Drosophila melanogaster: one gene and its partners. The protein of the gene in region 4 interacts with the protein of the main gene of each other region in a pairwise test. Each region holds a gene or a part of one and is shown on either strand. Other genes may lie near its edges.

Region 1 (4,882 bases), on a different chromosome or scaffold from region 4:
GCCACAGGACCCGCACTGTGGCCCCATGGCGGAAGCACCCGTGGGAAGAGCTGATTTTATTCATGGATAGCGGAGTTACCTTGGTTTAAACCGCGTCACAGATCGATTTTTGTCCACCTAGGCGCGAATTTCTTACGCTTCCGCTGACTGCTGGTCGCATCGATTCCGGTGCCACTGCTCTGGGAACTTTGGATCCCGTTGGGTATCTGGTAATTTTGAATGCACTACACACGCCGCAAAAGCGTTTGCATTTGCATTGGGTCCGAAAAAATTTGGTGCGCAACAGAACGAACGTCCCGTTCCTAACGAAAAACTAAAGTGTGTGCTCACAAATCCGTACATCTTGCTCAGCTAGATATTATCGATAGGCAGTGGATGGATTGTCAGCTGGCCGACGGCACCTATCGATAGCTATTCAAATCCAAATGGCGGCCATGTTGTTTGTTTGAAAGCCCAAAATAGGCTGTATTATTTTTGTTTATTTGTCCTGCAAATTATAAACAAGGGAGTCTCCGAGAAAAAGTGCAACTGCATCACTAGATTTTTTGAACATATCCGAATTGATTAAAACATTTCTGATTTATCACTTGCCTAGCTTTATTGTAAAATATTGAATAAACCTCCATAACATTAATACAGGTACCAAGATACCGAGACTTTCATTTTTGTGTGTGTTGCAGAAACGAACTCCAAATAATTCGCGAGGGTGGTTTGACGTTAACAAAGGTCATAGTTGATAACCAGTTGAAAAGGATTCATTATTAGTTGGATCAGGTTTTGATGCCAATCTTTAGAATTTGAGAATTCTTACATTAATCAATACAAATAAAGCTATTAAGGACAGAAAACCACTTGTAAATCCGGTCTCATCTTCCATGTTTTCGATGACCAACAGTTTTCGAGAAGGCTTATTTAACAGTAACTTTAAATCATTCTCTAGATCCTATTCAAAATTTGGTATATTTGTTGATTTTTACATAATAGTTGACTGCTGGAAGGAAACGTTTCCGTCCCTAGAATTTACATTTATTCTTATTGAGGATCATTAACCGATTCGATCTGTTCATGTCCTCCTATCTCTATAAACGCATAGATTTTTGGAACTATAAAACTTAAAGATTCAACAATGTCACGTTATGTCTCTTAGCAAAGGGAAGTTTAATCCTTTCTATTTTAGACTAAGCATAACGTTGACAAAATGTTAGCTCGAAACACATTGTTAAAAGTGTTTACCAAAGGGAAAATGGGGAATACAAAGTACTGTGAATTGTTGTAGCGCATAATGAAAGCGATTCTCCGAGTTTGTTTTTATAGGACTATTCGTAGTCACTTTCTTGTTTGCACCGAATGCATAAACAGAGAACTGCAATTCAAAAGGGAAACTCTTGCTCTTTGCCTGATTTCACCACACTGCTCACTCGATTGGCGCTCCTGTGCTCGACGCGAAAGCTTTTCGGGGGAGCGGAAAAGCTGCGCCAAAGCACGAAGTCCACGATCCCGATCCCTAAAGCTCGGGCAAGGCCTCTTGAATGGCACCGAGATTCCACCAAAATAATTTCAGTTGCGAGCGGACCTCTGCACGGAGTGGAACAAAATCTGAAGAGCAAAGAGTACAGTCCGCGGAAAACGTTCAATTAATAGAAGCAAGAAACCACATATATAATCTAATTATTCTCGTATATACCCCACATATATCTCGCCTGTGCATATACGAACCCCGTATATATGTATCAGTGAACAAAAAGTTGTTATACATAAAATAAATTGCGAAAGAAGAAACACCATTATCAACTAAAAATAGTGACCGATTCTCAAAGGAATACAAATTTTAATAACGAAAGACCCCAAACGACGAGAACGAATCAATTATACAATTATAACACTATAAACTGTAGAACACACCAAAACGAGCAGACACGCGCACGCATGTTCGCGTTAAGGGCCTAAAGCACATCAGAACCGTAACCGATCGCAGGATGACTTTCACCCGCCTCAAGACTCTCTCGCTGCTCGTGTGTGCTCTGCTGGCCCTGAGTTTTCCCGGACATGTGAGTGGTGCAGGCAACAACAACAACAAGAAGGGCTCGCAGCCAGTGGCGCCTCCGGAGCCGGAGGCCGTCATCGAGGAGGTCAATGCCAAGCAGCTGGAGAAGCTCCTGGCCGACAAGGATTACGTGGCCGTTTTCTGGTGTAAGTGGGAGGGTGGTTATGCCAGTGCTCTCGGGGTCGTCCGGGCACCGCTCATTTATCGTCAGACCGGACCGTACCGGACTCGAAATAGTAACAGAAGCCATATTATATAAATTTTCGCTAGTGAAAATTCTAAAAATTCACATACAAATGAAAATATGTGAAAAATTCGTTGCTCGAAATGTCCGCGATTTTCATTCGGTTAATTTTTTATTTTTTTTCTATTTCTTCATTTCCTCCCCGAGTTGCCAGTAGTCTGTGCTGCCTTCCCTTTTCTATATTTTTTTCATTTCTGCGCTATCTTTGCGATCTGTTTATGAGTAGAGAAATCTCTCTTGGCTGTGAGAAATCGTCTTTGCAGCTTTTTATATTTTCGGTTTTTTAGTCTATTTTGGCGCAAACTTTTGGCACAAAATATACCTACATACCTATGAAGCAGAATTTAATTTCCTTCCAGCAGTTGCCAACAGATTTCCTGCCCTTTTAAATTTATTTTCAATCCCCTTGTCCAGTGGGTCCCATTGGTGACCTGTTTTTGGGTAACCAAAAAAAAAAAAAAAAAAAAAATGGTTACCGTTCGCGTGAAAGAATGGCTTATTTATTAAATCTCTTTAATCAGTTTAAATATAGATTGGGCATTTGCGCGCTGTTCCCCAATGTCAAAGTTAATAAACACGAAAGTGATCTTCGGATTGTAATATTCTCCTTTATATGTATATGTACATATACCTCACGATGTGTTTCATTAGCATTGGCGGCAATTCCAAAAATAATTGTTGACAATGAAAATATTTTAAGTCCAAAAGCCTCAGGCCCAATGACGCTGGCCGACAATCGAAATAATCATGGAATATCTACGCAAATGGCAGAGCATTGAATAGTTTTGGCAATTAAATCGCAGATAGTTCAATATGTAAACGAATTCTATCGATAAGCTAAATGTGTTTATTATTTCAAGTGAACGCTATTTATGTTATTGCACTGCATGCGATAGCACTCTGATGATTTTAAATCAAACATCCTGCAGTGGATTTTCCAAAGCACCTGGTGTACACAGGAAACACCTTAGTGTTGGAGCCCGTAAATAACAGCATTAGGAGTATGGAGTAGGCAGGGGGGGGGGGTATTCGGCCAACTCGCGATTACTTTCCAAGCAGTGAAAGATTGTTTTGAACGGATTGCCAAACAATCGAAATGGCTGTTTACTCGGCGATGTATTAATGATTCCGATTTTGCAGTCTGGTCTGCCGTTTAACCAACCAGAACGTTTGTAGAGACGTGGGCCAACGGTGGTCTTTTGTGGGCTGCAATTCATTTCCCTAATAGTGGCCGCATGAATTTTATGAATTAATTTAGAATTTCAGCATATTTGTTGGCAGTTGCTGCCGCATTAATAGCACAGAATTGGCCTGGCGCTGCTGTCATTTCATTCATTCATTCAGGCTTATTTTCGATTGCGCGGTCCGATGATGCATCCTGCATCTACTATATAGGAATGAATAATCTTTGCGGCATTTGGCTCCACTTCTGCCAGGGCTTTGGGCTTTGGGCTTTCAATTCGAATGGGAATTTAGTTATGGTCTCTTGTGGCGTCACATGCAGCAGTTGCCGACTGTCAATCGCTGCCGGTATCTACATATAATCGATCTTTAGTACTCACACGCTCGGCTTCTACGATTTCAGATGCGCGAAGCTGCGTGACCTGTGATAAGGTTTTAGCGGAACTCGAGAAAATCGACGATGACACCGACTCCTTCGGTGTGGACTTCGTGAAAATCAACGACAAACGACTAGCCAAACAGTATGGCATCAAGAACTTCCCCGCCCTCACCTACTTCAGGTAGGTAATTCCCCCACCACAAACAAGACACAAGACCTAATCGAATCGAATCCATATCTCGAAAACCGCAGGGAAAAGGAGCCCATCATATATGATGGGGATCTCATGGACGAGGAAGGAGTGCTCGATTTCCTCACCTCCTTGGAGGCCATGGACTTGCCCGATCGCATCGAGGAGGTCAATGCCAAGATATTGCAGAAGATCATCGAGGACACCGACTTCGTAGCCGTTCTGTTCTGTAAGTGTGAATGACTTAACCGTAGCACATACATAGTTCTTCAAACGTTTAGCACTCCGAACACTCTAGTGTCGGACACTTGAAATGATGATATTCTTTTTCAAAGCAGTTGCAGTTTTTAGCGAACACAAACAGTTTAGCTCTCTTGTGACTAAAAATCATACAGCTAGGTACTAGAACTACTTTCAAAACTACCTATTCTGTACATTCTATTCCATAAATCAATATCTTTTGCGTATGTCTGTACTCTATCTATAAATACGTATACTACTTGTAACTAACCGAAGCTAAGTGGCGGCATACTTAACATTTAATATAGCTATCTATATATAATAATAATTTCTCTTCCGGCGGTGTTTCGAACCCTCTTTGAGCCAAAATGCAAAAGGACAATTTATCAATCCAATATCTATTCTATCAAACGACTGCAGGTCCAGATCATGAAACATGCCCGCCCAGGGTTATGGGTAAGTTTTCCGTGAACAGTACTGGGAACCTTCTATCTTGCACTCTCCTTATAATTACCTACTTTGAAACTTTGTTTCCCCCAAATTAATTCATTGACAATGTTTTACCCTTATTCCACCATAATTTTCCTGATTCCAGTAATACCA
Region 2 (7,404 bases), on a different chromosome or scaffold from region 4:
TGTATTTGTGCACCTCCGGCCGAGATAATCGAGCTGAAGTTGCATTTCCCACTTTGCTGGCGAAAAGTTTAATGGATTTTTCCACCATTCAACACCGAAAGGTGTGCTTTAAAAACTTTCCTGCTGTCACTTATTTCCCATTTCGTTCGTACACCTGCCGCATTTGCCATTTGTTCGACTAACTTAGGCTTGACAATTCTCAAAACATTCATCAAAGTCCGGCGCTAAAACCATTTCCGTGTTCTCATTTCTCCCCCCGCAAACATTTTGTCAAACATGAAACATTCGCCTAGTGACGTCACAACTAATTAGAGTGGAAAAAGAGGAACTTTTCTTTGTCACCAAGTCAAGTTATTTGTTTCTGAATGCTTTGCCTAATTAGTGACTTCAACTTTGCTAATATTATGAACAAATCTATAATTATAAGAAATAAAGAAACTATCTTATGTTCAGTCTTACTCTACTTTTAAGTTTTATTGAGAACTATTAGCTCTTCTCCATATAGCCAAGTTTAAACTTTCATACCTTGAAAGTTTTAATAATAACTACAAATCCTTAATGCTTGACTTCAAAATGTTTATTCGGTAAATATGAATATGAAAACACTATATATCTACGACAAACATGTTTCAGTTATTTGGTCTTCAGTGTGTGTGTGTGTATGTGTTTGTGTTTGTATCTGTAATGCAAAATGACTTAAATAACAATAAGGTTTCTGTTCGCGATTGGTGCAAACGTGTTGGTAGTTAGCCTAACCCAAGCACCCAAATCCCAGATCCACGTGGATGCGGCCCCATGGATCTCAGTAATGGCGCTGCATCACCCTGTCCAGATCGTTCCAACTGCATGAGTAGTCGATCTGCAGTAGACCCTTCTTGCTCAGTCCGAATTTACGTGCGTAAATTCCCGAGTAGAGCGACGAGTCACCACCGCTGGAATGATGGGGCGATGAGCCCCTAACCCGACTGCCATCACCACCCACCAAGCCGCCCATGGTTCCGTAGAGGGCGGAGGGTGCGGCATAGATCTGCTGCTGGCATTCGCTGCAATCCGGTATGCTGCAGTACGGCAGTGAAGCATAGGGATTACAGTAGTCGTAGGCGGGCGAAAGTGGCGGCGGTGCGGGGAAATCGATCTGCGGCGGAGCGGCCATGGGCGCCGCCTTACCGCTTCGCTTGCGCCGCGGATGGGGGGCAGTTCCATAGCTGCCGACCATGTTGGTGCTCCGCTGCATCTCGCTGGGCACGGAGCGGCGTTGCATCGTGGCCGCGCGTCGTTGGAGAACGGGCTGCTCATCGCCAATGGAGGAGGGATGCTCCGTGGAACTGGTGCTGGAGAAGCCTGAAACGTGTGAGATTACACGGCATTAGTGAAAGCTATCAAAATCATTTGGTATTTTACAACAGCTACATTTATATTTAAGCACTCGATGGGTTTAAAATCAATAAAACATTTATACTTACATATAGTTTGAAAAGGATTAGTAATCAAAATATATAACAAATACTAAGTAATTAATGATCCCCAAGTACAGAAAATCAAATTTCATTAGTCAAGCTCAAAAATCAATGATTTTGCCAGAGATTTGCAATTAAACGTTAATCGAATTGCCATAAAAGACGCACTGCGTAAATTGTAACAATCAAATGGAATCGAAAATGAAATCTAAATGCATTTGTGTGATTTGCATACAAAGCTAACTAAATAAATTGGTTATTACGAAACAAAAGGAATTTTAAATTAAAATCTAGTTTTAAAGGGGTTTCGAATTTGCATTTGCTATTTGCGTTTTTCACTCACCTCCAAAGCCATTGTACAGTTGCCGCTGCTCCTCGCCGTAAAGATCTTCCGGCTCCTCATCCTCGCCGTTGTCCAGGTGCAACTGCCTGGTCATGGTGGCCATGTAGTCCTCATAGCGGCTGGGCACACCGTAAATATCGCTCCTGGCCGTATAGAGTGGCTCCTTGCGAGCGCTGCGGCTACGGCGACGAGTCCTTTGGGGCACACAGCACTCAAGTTGGCACTGGGCACGCGACACCCGGCGACTTTGGGTGTGGGGGCGTGGCATTGTGGCCGACATGCCCACACCCATACCCGCACCGGCGGCACCCACTCCGTATCCGTATGTGGGACTGGTCGTCAGCGAGTTGCCACCACCTCCGTAGGCAGGTTCAATTGCCTCACCATCACCATCACCACCACCGCCACCGGTGACATCATCGATCTTCTTGCGAACATAATCATAGTTCTCCAGATCCCAGGGATCCACATAGCAGCGCTGCGAGGGCAGCAGCGTGGTGCCATATATATCCTCCGTGTTGTCAATGGTATAATAGGGGGATTCCAGGGCGCCCACTCCCTCCGAGGAGCTGCCACCAGGTAAGGCCTGTTTTGGACCGGCTCGTCGCCTTCTTGGGGTCGTTTGACTGCGTTCACGCATGCTGTAAGAAAAAAAGGCAAAGAAAAAATACATAAATATTGGTTGGGAAAATGCGGAGATGGTGCGCGTGGTGTGGGAAAGCCATGAGCAAGTGCATCAACTGGTTGCTTACGCAACGCACTTTGTGGCCAATACTGAAAACTCTTCCGTCAACGAATCGAACCCGTTCTTCGGCGTTGGCCGCGAATTTTCCGCGGCATTAATGCCGGCTTAAAATTGCACACCGGCTTGGCTATATCTTTTGCAGGTGTTACACTTCACGACTTCAGATTGCAACCATTAGCCGGTTTATGGATCTGCATAACTTAGCATGGCCAATCAATTGGCATTCCAATTGCCAATAAGCCGAGATATTCCATTAGCCAACAGACTGGTTTACGTCAAAGGAAAACTAACAAAAAACCCATCCACCCGTTTCGGGCATCGAAAACAAATTGCTTTACTTATCAAATTTCATTAAAAAAACAAAAAACTATTTAATTAAAATCTGAAATGGAGCCCGTCGGCAACTGTATAAATTTATAAAAATATGCGATACAAAATCAAGTGGAATAAGTGCCATGCAAAAAATACACAAATTTCCATTTTGTCGAGAAGGTTAACTAGATTTTCGATCAGGCTTGTCAGTTGCAGTGCCATCGAAATGGAATTAAAATACACCGAGTTTTCCATTGTAAAACTAAATAAATGAAAAACGTTCAGTTTTTTTTTAACTGCATATTCATTTCAGAGTTTATTTAACATAAAAGACAATATCAACATGTAATAAGCGAAAAACGGTTCACATTTCTTTCATTCGATTAAATCTCTACCGAAATCTGAATGAAAAGCATGAATGGGCACAGAAAATATTAATATTAATGCATCTGTTTCCGCAAAGTTAAAAAAAATACCTTAAAAAATATTAAATTAAATTTTTAGGCAAATTTTTCGGCTGATATTTTACATAGGCTTTTGGTTTTCTCCGGGGTTTTCCCCTTAATTATTTCTACAATATAAAACGCCCATTTCAAAAAAGGGTTTTGCGCAATCTTTTCGAGGCATTTGTGATTTGTGCATTTGCATAAAAATGTTGAGTTGGTTTTGTTTTTGCCTGGTTTGTTTTAATCTCTTCGGTTATCGATTAACATTTGTATGGCCTGATCAAGAAAAAAGGTTTCCGATGGGAATATATTTTTTATAAAATACACAAACTGTACCGCGAAAAAAAAATAAAACAACGTGACTTGGCTGTGACACGCAAATGAAATCGTTTATCTGTGTATCTTTCAGGGTCTATAAACTTTTTATGGCATATATCCAAACAAAACAAAATATGCACACAGAAGCCCATCTGAATGCACTTTCAGTGATTTGCACGCGAGTGAAAATGGTTTAGGGCTTGTTTTTTAAGCTATTTATTATTTAAAGGAACTCCAAAATGTAGTCAATCCAAAACAAACAATGTAGGCATACAAATTCTGCACTCTATACTTGATATTCCAGTTATTATTCTAGATAACTGATGAATAAATTGATAAGAATAATAAATGTTCTTGGTGGGTGAAAATCGCATTACGTATGCGCCACGTGGCCCTTTACCGTGAAAAGTTAATTGCATGCGCAGTGTTTAGACGCAATTAGAGTTGAATATGCAAACACATTCGTGGATATGGAACCACTTAAAACCCCTAAGACCCTGTTAATTAATTGGCATCTTCGGACGGCACTTCCACTCCTTCACTGCGGTTGGCTGATTGCCCCGGTCAACCTCAGATACAGATTCAATTTCGGATTCAGATTCATTTCAGCGTAAAGTGCCGCTTTGACTTTGGCTTCTGGCCATTTGCATATCAAATGTGACAAGTTCGCGTCGAGTTACTTTGTGTAATCAGTCGGGCTTGTTAGCGTGTTTGGTGATTGATAGTGGTTTTGGCCACCTGAGTTAGGCTTAAAATAAAAGACAACTATCAATATTTGTGCAAATCCGGGCTATTAAATGCTATTAAGACGGATGACCGTAATGGGATATTTAAATAAAGATTAAATTTAAGTATACTAAAAATAAACTTATTTAAGATAAATGTAGGTTTGTAGGTAGCAACCACAAACACTCTTTATAAATATTAACTGGTAAGATATTCCACTATTTATATTTTACTACTCAAAATTTTGCCCACCTCCATAATATTATTCGATTGACTTTGGTTTTCTCCGAATATTTCAATTAAGGTAATAATTAACAACCTGTCCATGTCTCATTCAGCACAAATTATGCAAAGGTAAGGTAAATATTTCGACATCGGATTATAATGCAAAATAACTGGAAACACGTTTGCCAAATGCCAATCGACCTTGCTAAGTATTCAAATATATAAATATTTATTCGAGTGATATCATGCCCAATTGTGGATTTACATCAAACCAATCGAGAGCAGGGTAAAATGAATTTAAAAAGTCACATCTTCTGCCGCACCTTTGAAAAAAGTATGCGAGACGAGCAGAAGTTTTTATCATGAATCACCTGAGAAGAACAGTTCTCTCGCATACCTGGGCGTAGTGCCCTAAAATGGTGATCATTACATTACACCTGAGATGCATTCGAATTTATGTGGCACAGACCCACGCAGATGATCACTCAATCTCGACAAGCCCGCAAAAGATTGAAAACGAACATCAGACGGAGCTGAAGATACACCTAAAAAGATACTTGGCAGCCTGCCCACACTAAAAAAATAGCAACTTTCTTTGCTTTTGACACAGTTTTCTGGGCAGTTTCATTCACCTTGTTATTTATTTGGTTTTGGTGTTGGTTATAAATTTGAATTTGTTTTATGCCGTCGGTCACTTGTCACAGAGCACTTTTATGGTTATAGAACGCTCTTTTAGCCAATTTGTGAATTGTAAATTTCAAACACGTCCGATCGGCACATGATCTACGCGCATGCGCAACCGCGTTGTGTTCGCTTCTTCGACCGGCGCTCAACTGTTTTGGCCAACGGTTTGAGCCAAGTTACAAGTCTTTGGCGCTTCTCTGCCAGCATGTTCGAACGGGTTTGATCCTCGGTCTGAGCTCACCTCACATGTTCGCTTGCCAATTTCCATCAAAATTAATCAGAGATCCCATTCAGTCTTTATGTCTTTGGCTAGATGTAATTTCGGCCGGCCTGTAAATTAATTAGCAGTAAATTAAAATGACAGCAGGTGGTTATGTCACAGTCGCAGAGCTACTCAAAGTCACATTGATATGCAAATTTGAGAGTCGTTGAAATGCGGCTGCGCCAGGGAAATGCCATAGATATGTAAGCAAAACTGGGCTTCATTACACAACGAATTGAAGTTGCTCTAAAGAAATGTATCTAAAAACTCAGTTAAAAAGTAGAAATTGTAATTTGAACTGTCATCATTTAGGAAAAGAAGCTGATTCATACCCAACATATATTACACCCATTTTCGAAACTCATTCAACTTAACCGCATAGTGACCATAGCCGTTGCTAGAGTAAGTGGTTTAAAAAAAAAAGCAGCTGCCAAGTTCAAGTCTTTTTCACTTGCGGAAAGAAATTGAAATCGCTGCTGAGAGAAATTGCATCACTTCAACTTCAACTTCAACTTGAACCGACATTCGGGTGGGGCAATGTGCGCCGCCTTTGAATTCATCAAAAGAAAACAGGTGATGAGCATCATTTCTCATTCGAGACTTTTCCCATCTCCAGCAGCTAAAGCCCAAATAATTTATGCAGTTTTTTTTGTTAGCTACCAAAAGGTATTTATAAAATTAATTGTTTGAAAAAACCTTAAAAAAAGCTTTCACTTTCAGTGCGGTGGCGGTTGGTTTTTTGTGTGGTATCCCCAAAGTCGTGCCGATATTTATGGTGTTTATTCAGTCAGGTCAGTTATTATTTCCTATTGCGGTGAGTGTCGAGTGCAAACAATCAATTGATGGCCCATAGACCAAACCAAAAGCAATTCAATTAAGCCAGCTCAAGTGGGCCACACTTTGTGGTCAGATGTGTCACCAGATAAAAAAGCAGGCAATTAACAAATAATTGTTTGGGGAATTTTAAAGGATTTGCGAAATCTCAGCGACCGCAGATGTTATGCTTCTTAAATTATTTAAAAATATAAATTCCTATCATATGTTAGTATTTATATACATATATATCTTTAGAAATATATCTATAAATGTCTTGCAAGCTCATGCCATTCAGCTTTCGAATGTTATTTGGATTTCTGGTCACGAGAGCTTCGAAAATTGTTGCCTTCACCGGGCATCCATCCATCCATTGAGTTCATTTAGCCAGCCTGCAGTTCATCAGGCCTACATTCCTTGCCGTAGAATCCCAACCCCAATATAGGTACATATGCACTATTTGGACCCATTCAGAGGCTCTGGAGCCAGAGCAATTTGCCGCTTTTAATGGCGAACGTCGTTTTGGGACTTGGGCAGCACACGTTGCCAACGCACAGGAAACCGGCTGCACCTGGCCACCCAGCGGGGGGCGGTGGTGATGCATTTTCCGGTAATGGTAAGGGGGTGGTAAGGGAGCGGTGCCGCAACCAGATGTTTGCCTTTGACTGGCGGCAGACTCGTTGATCTCTGCTCCAATTCCAATACGTATGTGTGTGTGTTTGCTCGGCTCTTTCGGTCGGTATCTATCTATCAGATACTTCGCACCGGCGACATTGCAACATGCTCTTAGTGATGGCAAGGAAAAACTGCAAAGCTATTTCATATTGGCAACAATATTGCACAAGTAGTAACATCAATGATTGAGGAGTACATATATCTGATTTCAATCGATATTGTAGGCCTCATATCGAATTGTACTGCCATAGAGCTTGCCATCAAAAAAAGATATACTATGTATCCTAAAGATATGAAAACATCTTGCATGAGTAATGAAGAACTATTTACATGTAATATAGCTTAATTCTTTGAATTCCTTACACTTATAAGTGAGTGATACTATGCATCTTTCAACG
Region 3 (5,242 bases), 570 kb from region 4:
TACAGAAATATGAAGTTTCTGGAAACGAAACCGAATTTCTATTCAATAAAGTTCGGTGGCTTGGTTGGGCTCGCAACTTGTGGCGCAGATGTTCCCGACCTTCCAGCCAAAGTTCGTTATTTGGTCAAGGAAAGAGGTCCTGTTCGAATTCGACTCACTGGCTACAGTGTCCCCATAAAAAAAATTAAACGCAGACCTCAAACAGAATGGCTTGTTGCAACTTTCACTTGTTTTCGATCTTGACTTCTGACATCCTCTGTGGCAGGGATTTGCCGTCGAGGACATGGGCGTGGCTGGCCAACATGTTCACGAAAAATTATGGCTTGACTCCGACATTGTTGAGCCCTTCACGGGCCAACTTTTGGTTCTCTTTCCAAGTTATTAAGCTTTAAATAAAGAAGAATCCTTTTTAAATTGTTTAGACAGCAAAATTCCCACGGGAATTTGCAGTAAGCCAATGTTTCAAAATAATTATTTGTTGGCTTTACAAGACAATAGGAAACCACATTTTTCTGTTTTTTTCTTAATATTTAAATATTTTTAATTACCACAACGCCTTCACATTTACGTGAAAGGTTTAAATAAAACCAATTTAAACGTCTATTTAGTAGATATTTCCTGTAATTATTAACAAATAATTGTTGTGCCATAGAAAAAATTTAATTTATTATAAGAGAACGGCAATTAATATAATTATATAATAATTAATTATTCCTTTGCCTGCATACTAAGATTAAAATAAGTCACTTAATGGAGCAATGGATATATATCCACAAAGTTACATATATATTTTTGTTTTTACGAACGTCCCATCGATCCGCTTTTTGTTAATCATGTGAGTCCTCGTATCTGAAATATGATTTGCATATGGATGCCGGATGTGCTAATGCAAATTTTTGACCCAGCTTGAATTTCATTAACACGATTCGGGGGATTCAGCGGTGCACATACTTACTTCCCCTCCGTGTTCCGACACTCAGCCCATCCGATGCTTGATGGCCATACATCAGGATGAAGGATGAGCACTTCAGAGTATGTGTGTGCCATGAGCAAGTACTTACATATGTACCCAGGTACAGGTGTGCAGAAATGTGGCCGTGCATTGTAATGTTAAGTTACAAGAAATGGTCACACTACAAAAAAAATTTTAATGCGTGGGCCGTTTCATCTGTACAACTAAAATATATCATGTTTTCTAGCTATTCGCACATTGATTTTTTAAATAATTTATATTGAATTTAAAAACATAATATTAGATATCACACTATATTTTTCTGAGTGCTGGCTTGGGGGTCGGTGAACATTTTGAGATGAGGTTAACAAAAATGGCTATGTGTCGTCGTCCTGCTGACTGCGAAATTGCTTTGGATGCCAAATGAATGCACTTGCATATTTCATTGCCGCCCCGTCACCTGCGGTATCACCTTTGGGCCAACTCTTTGCCCCAAGTTGGGATAACACCATCATAAAACAATAGACTTTGGCTTTGTGGCCAGGAGCAAGCGTAACTTTGATTACCAAGAAGAATGTATGCTATTGAGTTCAATAAGAAAAGCCCTGTTTGGTAAAAATGTTTTAAGGTCTGTTAAGGCATAGCATTAAAACAAAAAAACGCTACTTTGGAGGTTAAATTCTTTTTATTGTTACATGATTCCAATGGATATTTGTTTTATATTTTATAGTTACTTTTTTTCAAATAAGTATTACAATAAAATATCTTTGCATTAACATGGACTTTACATTACATACTGTTAACATGGCGACCCACTGCCATACTTTTTTGTTGGGCCAGGTCACTTACGATCCACAGCATCCATCCACTGGGGGGTACTCCTTGCGGAAACTGTTGCTGCTGCTGTTAGCAGTGCCGTTATAAAGTAACGGTACCGCAGCACTGAAGAGCCCAGTGTGTTGGCAGCGCCGCGTGGCAACGGTAATTGAATTGAACCGGGTAGCGTTAGCGGTTTTATCCAACGGAAAATGTGACGGAATATTGGCGGGATTGACGTGTTATAATTTATTTGTTTTAGTTTACGCCGTGATATTGGAAAAGCATAACAAACATAACATTGTTAGTGAAAGAGTAAAAATAGGTAGCGTTTGGAATCCGATTATTATATCTACTATCTTATCATTTACTTTCACTTACATAATAGAAACGTTATTTTTTGTATATTATATTTATTACTTAGCTTACATTATTTTACTTGCTTTCAATATATTATATGTACATATAAGTTGTACCTCCTTTATAATGTTATATCCTTGAATACTTGAATACTTAGGCCACCAAAAATGTGTTTATTTTCATAAATATGCAAATTAAAAGTAAATAGACCAGAATAAGTGCTAATACTGAAACATAAATAAAGATGATTTGCGTGTCATTACTCAAATATCAACTAAAATTCGTGAAAAAGAATTAACAATCCATGAGTGACTAAAGGGAACCATGTCTTCTGGCGAGTGGGACCTGCGTGCTTTGAAGGCGCTGGAGGAGGAGGAGCAGCGCGAGTTCCTGGCCCTCAGCCAGAGAAACCTCTTCGATCCGCTGCCGAATCCCTCACCGGATGTGCCCAGTGCGAAGCCTTCACTAACTTATGCCCAGCTGCATCCTCACCTGCTAAAGCTGCCGACGATCGACGAGTGCCAGCTGATGGCCGTCAAGCAGCAGAGATCAGCGGCTCTGCGATTCAGTCGCGCCCTCTCCTTGTCCGCCCACTCACTCACCTCGCGAACCGGAAGCGCAACGGCAGGCGGAAGTGGCCTGGGCTTTGGCCGTAAACTGAAAGCCCGCTTAGTGGGCGCGAAGTCGAGTGGCTCACTTTCGCCCGGTCGGCACTCGCACAGCTACAGTGTTTCCCCGGTATATACGCCGCCGCCCATGAGAAGATGTGCCACCTTGCATCACACGCAACCGGTGCGAAAAGTCTTTAAAAATCTCCAACAGCTGCAGGAGCGAAAACGTCAGGCGGCTGGAAGTCATCTGCAGAGGATCGCTGGCACTGGAAAAACGTACTGGAAGTACGGAGCCAATTCCACGGCCGCCTCGATAGTGGGCCAACGTGCACGCCAAAACCAACAGATCGAAGTCGAGGAGCCCAACGGTTCGGATGAGCTGAACTCGGAAACACAGGAAATCTCCGAGGCGGAAACGGGCTCCTGCAGTGTGCCGCTGCCGTCGAAGGACACCAATGAAATACTCCGCCTCATGCTCAGTGCGGCCAGCTCGGCGGTAACTGTGACGCCAACGGCGGCGGCCATTGGTAACGGTAACGTGGCCGGAGCAACTGGTGGCGCCCCGCCAATGCGTCGCTACCAGAATGCCAGCGATGTTGAGGAGGACGAAACTGTTGCGTACGGAGCTTTCCACCAGGCGGCCAAAAGCTTCGAGCGCGGCGCTCTCCTGCGAGTCGGCAGCTTAACAGCCCAAGAGAGCGATAACAGCAAAGTTAATGCCATTAGCCCCAGTCCACAGAACAGTCCCGCCAGGGAAACACAATCCACAGCGGTGGGCGGAACGGGTGGCAGACGTGTGTTCAAGTCCTGCTCATTCGATTGGCCCGGGGAAGCGCAACAGCATCTATCCCCGCAGCCACATCAAGCTGCAAATCCTGTAGAGCTGTTGGAGCAGCAGGGAAAGGACATTCGCTTTCGCCAGAGGGATCACTGGGATCTCGAGCATGCCCACTTCCATCACGAGGCACTTGGACACCTAACAACCAGCACCACCGTCATCGATGACGAGCTGGAGCAGCATATCAAGCACTGTTCCTGCTCCTGCAACCACATGGGCTATGGCAACTCAATGGACTATCAGGTGAGTGAAAACTACGTTCAAAAGAGATTAATACAAATAAAAACTGAAAACAATTTCGGTTGAATAAGAAACATATGATTAACAAATTGTAACTTTCGAAGCTTATATTGTCTATTAATGTCGGTCTATTGTTATACCATCAGTATAGGAAGGCAAATGGCTTTAGTTATTGAAATTTTAGATATTTTGCAATTAAGTGGAATGCTAATTGTTTCCTGTTTGCCCATTTAATCCAAAACCGCGTCAAATTCCCGCCGTGCACAGCCCTTTTACAAGTGATGGCGCCGTGTAATTTTAATTGCAGCAACTATATCTGCAGTGCGGGTGTCCGGCAATTCAGGTGAATGGCGGCACATTCAGAGGGCCTCCACTTTCTATCCAGCTTTTAATGCACTCTGGCGGAGATTCCAATACACAGGCATTTCCCAAACTCATTATCAGCGAGGCCTTTTGTGGACATTCCGGGTTCACGGCTGGATTGGTCCTGGCAGATTGCCGCCTGGAGATCGCCCTGGGGCACTGACTCTGCCATTGCCAAGTGCTCCATTGTCTGGCTGCGAGTGGCCCGCATGGGATGGGTTCAACTTTTAAACTAAATTGAATACCCCTTTGAATCCGACAATGAGCTGGATGCCTGTTCTTGCCGGGATTAAGCTCACAGTTGGGTTTCTCGCACCCTCACATCGTTATTGTCTGTAATTGTTAAGACGATTTTAGGTTTAATAGCTGCCATTTCAAATAGAGTTGGAGTCTGTTGGCTGACCCCTCGAAAACTCAAGACTTTATCTTTTGTTTTACCACAAGGATGCAATTGCACACTCTATGTGGCCCTAAGGGGTGTGAGACTTTTATTGTGCAATACTCAGGAACAAACGGCCTGGGAAACTTAAAGCATGACAGGAGTCTTCAACTAGGAAATATTTTCTCGGTTAATAATGCACTCTAAAGAACTTTTAAATACCATTGTATGTAGATGATGATGTAGATGATACCATTGTATGATGAAATGATTGCCTGATAGTTAGGACCTGAAAAAATGAATTCTAGCCATTTGCATAGTTTGATTACGACTTTATAGGAGATTGTTTACAGCGTACAGATAGTTCTACAATAGGTGCGATTGCGATTGGGTGTGCTTTACTAATAGCGTTACTAACATAGGGCGTTTATTTCTAACTCGATCGAACATCCAGGGGGGTCATGCGTCTAAAGGCTGTGGGTTTATCCGTGGGATGATCCGATCACTGCAGCGTGCTCTGTGGCGGAGTGAGCGGGGTCCAGGTGTCGGCAGCTACGGCCGGAGCTCCATTCACCACGGCGGTTGGCACCGAGACCACGGCAGCTCCACCGCCAACAGTGCCCCGTTCCCCGGCGTGCTCCAGGGATGAGGACTCTATCTTGATGTCGTGAGAGCTCTTCAGG
Region 4 (5,695 bases):
ACCGAGTTTACGATCTTTTTATAGTTTTAGCATAACAATTTGATTTCAAGCGTTAATATTCATATCTTAAGCTGTATATTATTCGGGCGTCAGTTAAAAAAACATGCGTTTGTTCATAAGAAAAACTTGTTTCTATATGCGATAGGTCAGTAACTCTTTGATCAACCATTTGGCAGTGGTCCAATAAAGTGTTGTAAGCATTAAACCCAAACTTTCCCTTGGTTTTTTTATTTGTTAGTTTTGAAATCGCTGTAATTGGTGCTCTTTGGTTTATTTTAAGTAACACAAATCCGCTCCCGAATACAAACATCCCCACTATGTAAATAGTTGACCACCTCTGATTTATGCCGAATCTTGTTTGTTTTGCAGTCTCGTTCTCGCACGCTGAATTGCGGATATCTAAGGGGGTAGGGTGAGGCGGCGGGTGGTGGTGGTGCCCAAGTGGTGTGGCAAGGTGTGCGGTGGGTGGTCGGGGGCAGCACTGTGGGTCGCTGCTCGGCATCGGGGTCTGGGGCACTGAGTAAATGAACGCAGCGCGCTGCAGCGCCTACGAATCGTTGCCAATACTAATGAAGTCGGCGTGCGTGTGTGTGGGCGGGTGTGCGAGTGTGCGTGCTGCAGTTGTGTGCAGTTGTAGTTGCGGGTTCATTGCACGTACACTCGCACAAACACACTCACAGCGCCCAAAACGACCAACGACGAACCCGAGCAAGCGACCGAACAGTCCACCCACCAGTGATGCCACTTCTTTGCACAATGCCAACTCAGTTTGGCGAAAAAACGGCTAAGTAAATTTATAAGTCAGCGAATATAAATTTAAACATTTTTTTTTTTTTATTTATTCTTGATAATGTGCCATCTTCTGCATGCAATTAGGTGATCACGTATACGCCCAGTTTACTTAAGAGTGACATTTAAAGTTATTTGTATTTAACATTTTTATAAATTTTAAGTGGTTAGCAGAAAATTAAAAAACAAGATGTAAATAAGTTTTACTAATGCAATAAAGACAACAGGACGTATACGTAATCTACCCCTTATAAGCGAAAAATGTGTTGCCTATCTTATGGCGCCATATCATATTTTATGACCAAAATGTTAAAAATGGAATATTTCACGATAAAATATAATTAAAGCTTGTAGAATTTGTTTTGATAAAGATTAATAGACATTTTAAATCTCTTGTAACCGTATTCACTCTTATACTTAAAGATGGGGTTCTTAACAACTTTCTAGCCAGATAAACCATTACTGCCGCGTTACTATCCCCCACCCGTCGTTGGCCCCACTGTGCCAGCTCCAATGCGTCCCACTGTCCGTCGGTTGCTTCGTCACTTTGTTGCGTGTTCGTGATGCAGTTGTTGTTTGCCCTGGTTGTTGCAGTTGTTGGTGCTGTTGTTGCTGGGTCTCCGGTTTAGACAGCCGGGCTTCGGACTCCGGGTCTCCTCTGCCTGCCTCCCTCTCTCTTTCGCTGCTCCCCCTCACACCCGCACACAGCCCCTTCGACCAACAACCGACTTCGGTCATCGTGGATTTCTCTGCTCTCCGTTTTGCGGACCTGCATTTTGCTCTGCACTCTTCGCTGCTCTTTTGTTTCGCTTTTCGCTGCTTCTAATGCTCGTCCGCCACTCACCCCTTCCCCGACAACACCCTCTCGTTTTCGGTGGCTCCAAGTTAGAGAGAGGGAGAGAGAGGAGACCCCCAATGAAAGAGAGGTAGCTTGTTTATCGTTGCCTTTCTTTTGGGCAGCCTGCCCGCTGCTTTTTTCCGCCTCCTCCATCTTCCTCTTATTCTTTCAGTGCTTTTCTTCTCTGTTGTTTTTCGGTTTTTGCAGCTCTGAGCTTCGCTGCTTCTGCCGCTGCTGCGCTATGTTGTTGCTTTTTGTCTGTCTCCTCTTTGGTCTTGTTGCTTGTGTCTGTTTTGCTTTTTCGCCCTGCCATCTTACACACTTACTCACTCACACAGATACAAGCACCTACACGCGGAGACTTTTGTATGTAAAACTGACGTCGTCGCTGCTGACTCTTCTTTCCTTTTTCTGTCTTTTTTTTTTTTTGCACATTCTCCCTGTTCTCTCTTCTCGCCTGCATTTTGTGTATCTCATCTCGTGTACGCTTTCGCTGCCTTTCCAATCTCTTCGGCATCGGGGCAACAACAACGAAAAGCTGGCGTCGCCGTCGCCGTCATCGTTTTCTCTATTTTCCTCAATCGCTGTGCCTTTTCATTTTCAATTCGCATATTTTTGCAAACTCTACTTTCAGTTATTCGCCGATAATTGATGTCAAAGGACGCAGTTGTGCTCCGCCGGCGCAGTTTCACATCGCCTTTGGAATCATTGCCGCGGTACGGTATCATTCAGTGCCAGTGTGACCAGTTTCGCTGTGGCCATGCCCAAGGAGGATCCGTTCGTAAATCGAGCCCAGCTCTTGAAGGCGATCAAGAAATATCCGGAGATCTGGGACTCCAACAACAAGCTGCACATGTGCCGCAGCGTCACATCGCCCATGTGGACAGAGATCGCCGAGCAGTTCGGCGGTCATGTGCCGACAGGTGAGCCCACCAAGAATGTACCCGTCCCTACGAACCATTCCGCTTTCCGACATAAGCACCCCTCACACTCTACGCCACTGCTCCATTCGCCAGCTAGCTAGCAGTGTTGCCATTTGTTGCTGCCTTTCGCACTCTCCTTTCGCCAGCTCTTTCGAGGCGCATTCAGTGGCGCAGGCATGTGCTTTTGAAAGGGGGCTGAAAATCACTTTATTTAAAGTAAGTTGGTCCAACCTGAACATTTTAAAGTTCACTGCTCAATAACAAAAATCTACGTTGAATCAATATTCCTAAAGGGTTCATTATTTTCTTAAATTACGTCACTGCACTTGGCTAAAATTAGACAAAGGGCATTTCGGATAGAAAGTAAAGGTTTCTGTCCGTTTGGAATAATAGAGGAGCCTACGCCACTATATAATGCAAATTGAAGCACTCGCAGTAGAAATAATTGACGGGTGGAATGTACTTTGATGAATGCAATTGGGTGGCTTAATGTAAGCTTAGTTATCTGCACCGTGCCACAAGATATTACAATATTCATGAATGAAAAGACTAAACTTCGCACTCTTAGGCCTCTTAAGCCATAATCTCAATATTTGAAATATCTATTTCTTGGAAGTTTCAATAATCACGATTCACGATTAATATTCTTTAAAAAAGAAAATGTTTACCATATTTATTTATAATTTTCAGTTAAGCTGCAATCGATCTGGAGCCAGATGAAGTACCACTATCACAACTTGGTCCACCGCCAGATCCTCCACAAGGATCGATTCAACACCAAGTGGGAGCACTTCGAGCCCATGTCCTTCATGTATAACATTACGGTGGCAAAGATCGTAGGCGCTCAGTCGAGCGGCGGCAGTGGCGGAGGCACCTCCTCCGATGCCCCATCCACAGCCACTGAAGCAGCAACTGTGGGGGAGGAACCTGCTGCCCCAGTGGCGCCTCCGCCATTACCCACCGCCACCCATGGTCGCGGACGACCCAGTGGTAGCTTCAGCTGGCTGCAGACCGCAACCACACCCACCGCCCCTCAACTGCCGCATCTAATCACTCAGCCGCCCCATAGTCAAGGTCATGGCATGACATATACCGCTTTCACGGGGCTGGTACCTCCACCGGCCACTGTGGCCTCAGAGACGGTGGCCACGCCGCCGCGAAAGTTGGGCCGCCCCAGTTCGTTGCACAATAGCATGCGCGGACGTATCATCGATGCCATCAAGACGCGTCCATCGTTGTGGGCTGGGCGCCAGCGGAGTGAGAAAGGACAGGGTCAGAGTAGAACCTCAGCGGTTTGGAAGGAAGCGGCCATGGAGATGGGTCTGACACCGAGTAAGTTAGTCCCGTCTAAGTAGATTATATCCATCGAAATATATAGCATGTAGCAAACTAATTTAATATTGTGTTAAAAGGATGTTACTAATGTCCTGACGAATTGGTATTAAAATAAGCTTAAGTAGCTTAAAGGAATGTGAATTATAAAAAGTTCCCCAACCCTCCCAAAACATCTTATACTTTGCAGCTCTTATGCAAACGCGCTGGTCAATCATCAAGCAGCGCTACGTAGACGAACTGCAGAAGGAGCGCCACGCCCAATACTCCCACCAATCCTTCCGCTCCACGTGGGAACACTTCGATCGAATGTCCTTCATGCGGGAAATTCTGCTAAAGAAGGTCGATGAGAGGGAGCAGACACGCGAACAGATCCAGGAGATCGTTAGCGAGCAGCAGCACCACCAGCAGACGCAGCACCATCCGTCACAGCACTTGCACCACTACCGTCCACCACAGCCGCCAGCAGGATTGGTGGAGCACGCCCAGGACATGCCAATCGGATTGGTGCAGCACCACCATCAGGAGGGACACCATCCGACTTTGGCCATGCACCATCCGCAGCACTCGCAGCCCATTCGCCGTCGGGTCAAGCACGAGTCCGATCTCGAGTGGGATCCCTTTGAGATGATTCTCCATGTCCATGGTGCCGGAGAGCCAGCTGCCAATTGAAGACTGAGCAAATAGGGGCAGTTAAGCCCTAGACACACCTGAGAAAAAGCCTGCACCACTTTGTTTTTTTTTTGGGCACTAATTAATATTAACTTACTAGATCAAATACTTCAATATAATTGAACAAAATTAACAAGATTTCACTTGTTTTTTTTTCTTGATTTGATATAGGTTTCTTCTCAGGTGCAATTTGAAGACCCTAAAATAATCGTCAGATGTAAAATCACTAGCTATACCGCATGCCCCTACTATTGAAAAACCTTTTTGTAATTCCATTTTCTACTACTCCGCAAATAAATACATCACTAAGATATACATAATATTTAATTTGTATATTTTGGTTGGAAATAAATTCACTTAGCATATATATTCCAATTTGTGTAGTCTAGAAACTTCCATGTATTTCTGAAGGATTAATGAATTAAAATTAAATTAGGGCTCATTCAATGCGAAACTGAAATGGATACTACTCACGTTATATAACCGAGTGGTATACATTTCATCAATATCAATTTCGAGAAAAATGCGATTGTAATTTCCGAATGAAAGGAGATTTATTCCATCTGAAGTGCTTTGCACTCAATCAATTGCGATAATCGTGATGCGATGCGACGGATTCGAGATTCGAGAACGCTCCGAGCGCGAAAACTAAATTATGCTAATTCTCACAGTGTGTGCAACATTTGTCGATTGCCAAACTGGCAAACATGTTTCAAATACACACACACATACACATTGCCGCACATGGAGTCGTCCCATAAAGCCACCATCCATCCAGCCATCCTGCCATCCTGGCTTCCTGGCATCCAGTGTTTTGTGGATTTGTGTAAATTTCTGGCTGAGGGCCAAGGGCGGAACACGCGTAATTCCAATCACGTGCCAGCCCAGAAAAGAAAAGTTCTCAAACTGTAAAACGTTTATCAAAACGTATAGCTGCCCCGTTTTCGTTTCGCCCAAGAGCCACCCACATAATTGGCCCAAAGGATGCCGCCTCATCTTACATCCTCAGCACCCAACACCCCTTTTATTTTTCATCCGCCCGCAGACTCCGACAATATCTTCAATAATAAATGCATTTCACTGTCGAATTTGCCGCATTTTGCACAACACACGTGCCTTAAATAATTCACGTCGCATTTAG

The links.
Region 1: the proteins of CG6163 (region 4) and hlk interact in a two-hybrid assay, tested with the Drosophila melanogaster proteins (one large-scale study listed by BioGRID).
Region 2: the proteins of CG6163 (region 4) and CG8854 interact in a two-hybrid assay, tested with the Drosophila melanogaster proteins (one large-scale study listed by BioGRID).
Region 3: the proteins of CG6163 (region 4) and CG44837 interact in a two-hybrid assay, tested with the Drosophila melanogaster proteins (one large-scale study listed by BioGRID).

Annotation. Positions count from the first base shown.
Region 1 is NT_033778.4:6,737,347-6,742,228, reverse strand, and holds the start of hlk (hulk), read left to right. Parts: upstream 1-1,556; 5' UTR 1,557-1,976; coding exon 1,977-2,190; intron 2,191-3,873; coding exon 3,874-4,030; intron 4,031-4,101; coding exon 4,102-4,268; intron 4,269-4,699; coding exon 4,700-4,735; intron 4,736-4,882.
Region 2 is NT_033778.4:12,223,904-12,231,307, forward strand, and holds CG8854 (uncharacterized protein), read right to left. Parts: upstream 5,408-7,404; 5' UTR 5,205-5,407; intron 2,944-5,204; exon of another isoform or gene 2,442-2,943; 5' UTR 2,441-2,441; coding exon 1,801-2,440; intron 1,342-1,800; coding exon 803-1,341; 3' UTR 558-802; downstream 1-557.
Region 3 is NT_037436.4:11,935,551-11,940,792, reverse strand, and holds the start of CG44837 (uncharacterized protein), read left to right. Parts: upstream 1-1,920; 5' UTR 1,921-2,093; intron 2,094-2,285; 5' UTR 2,286-2,452; coding exon 2,453-3,820; intron 3,821-4,873; exon of another isoform or gene 4,874-5,061; coding exon of another isoform or gene 5,062-5,242. Other genes in the region: byn (brachyenteron), read right to left, coding at 5,062-5,242.
Region 4 is NT_037436.4:11,361,464-11,367,158, reverse strand, and holds CG6163 (uncharacterized protein), read left to right. Parts: upstream 1-2,273; 5' UTR 2,274-2,387; coding exon 2,388-2,550; intron 2,551-3,240; coding exon 3,241-3,882; intron 3,883-4,072; coding exon 4,073-4,554; 3' UTR 4,555-5,173; downstream 5,174-5,695.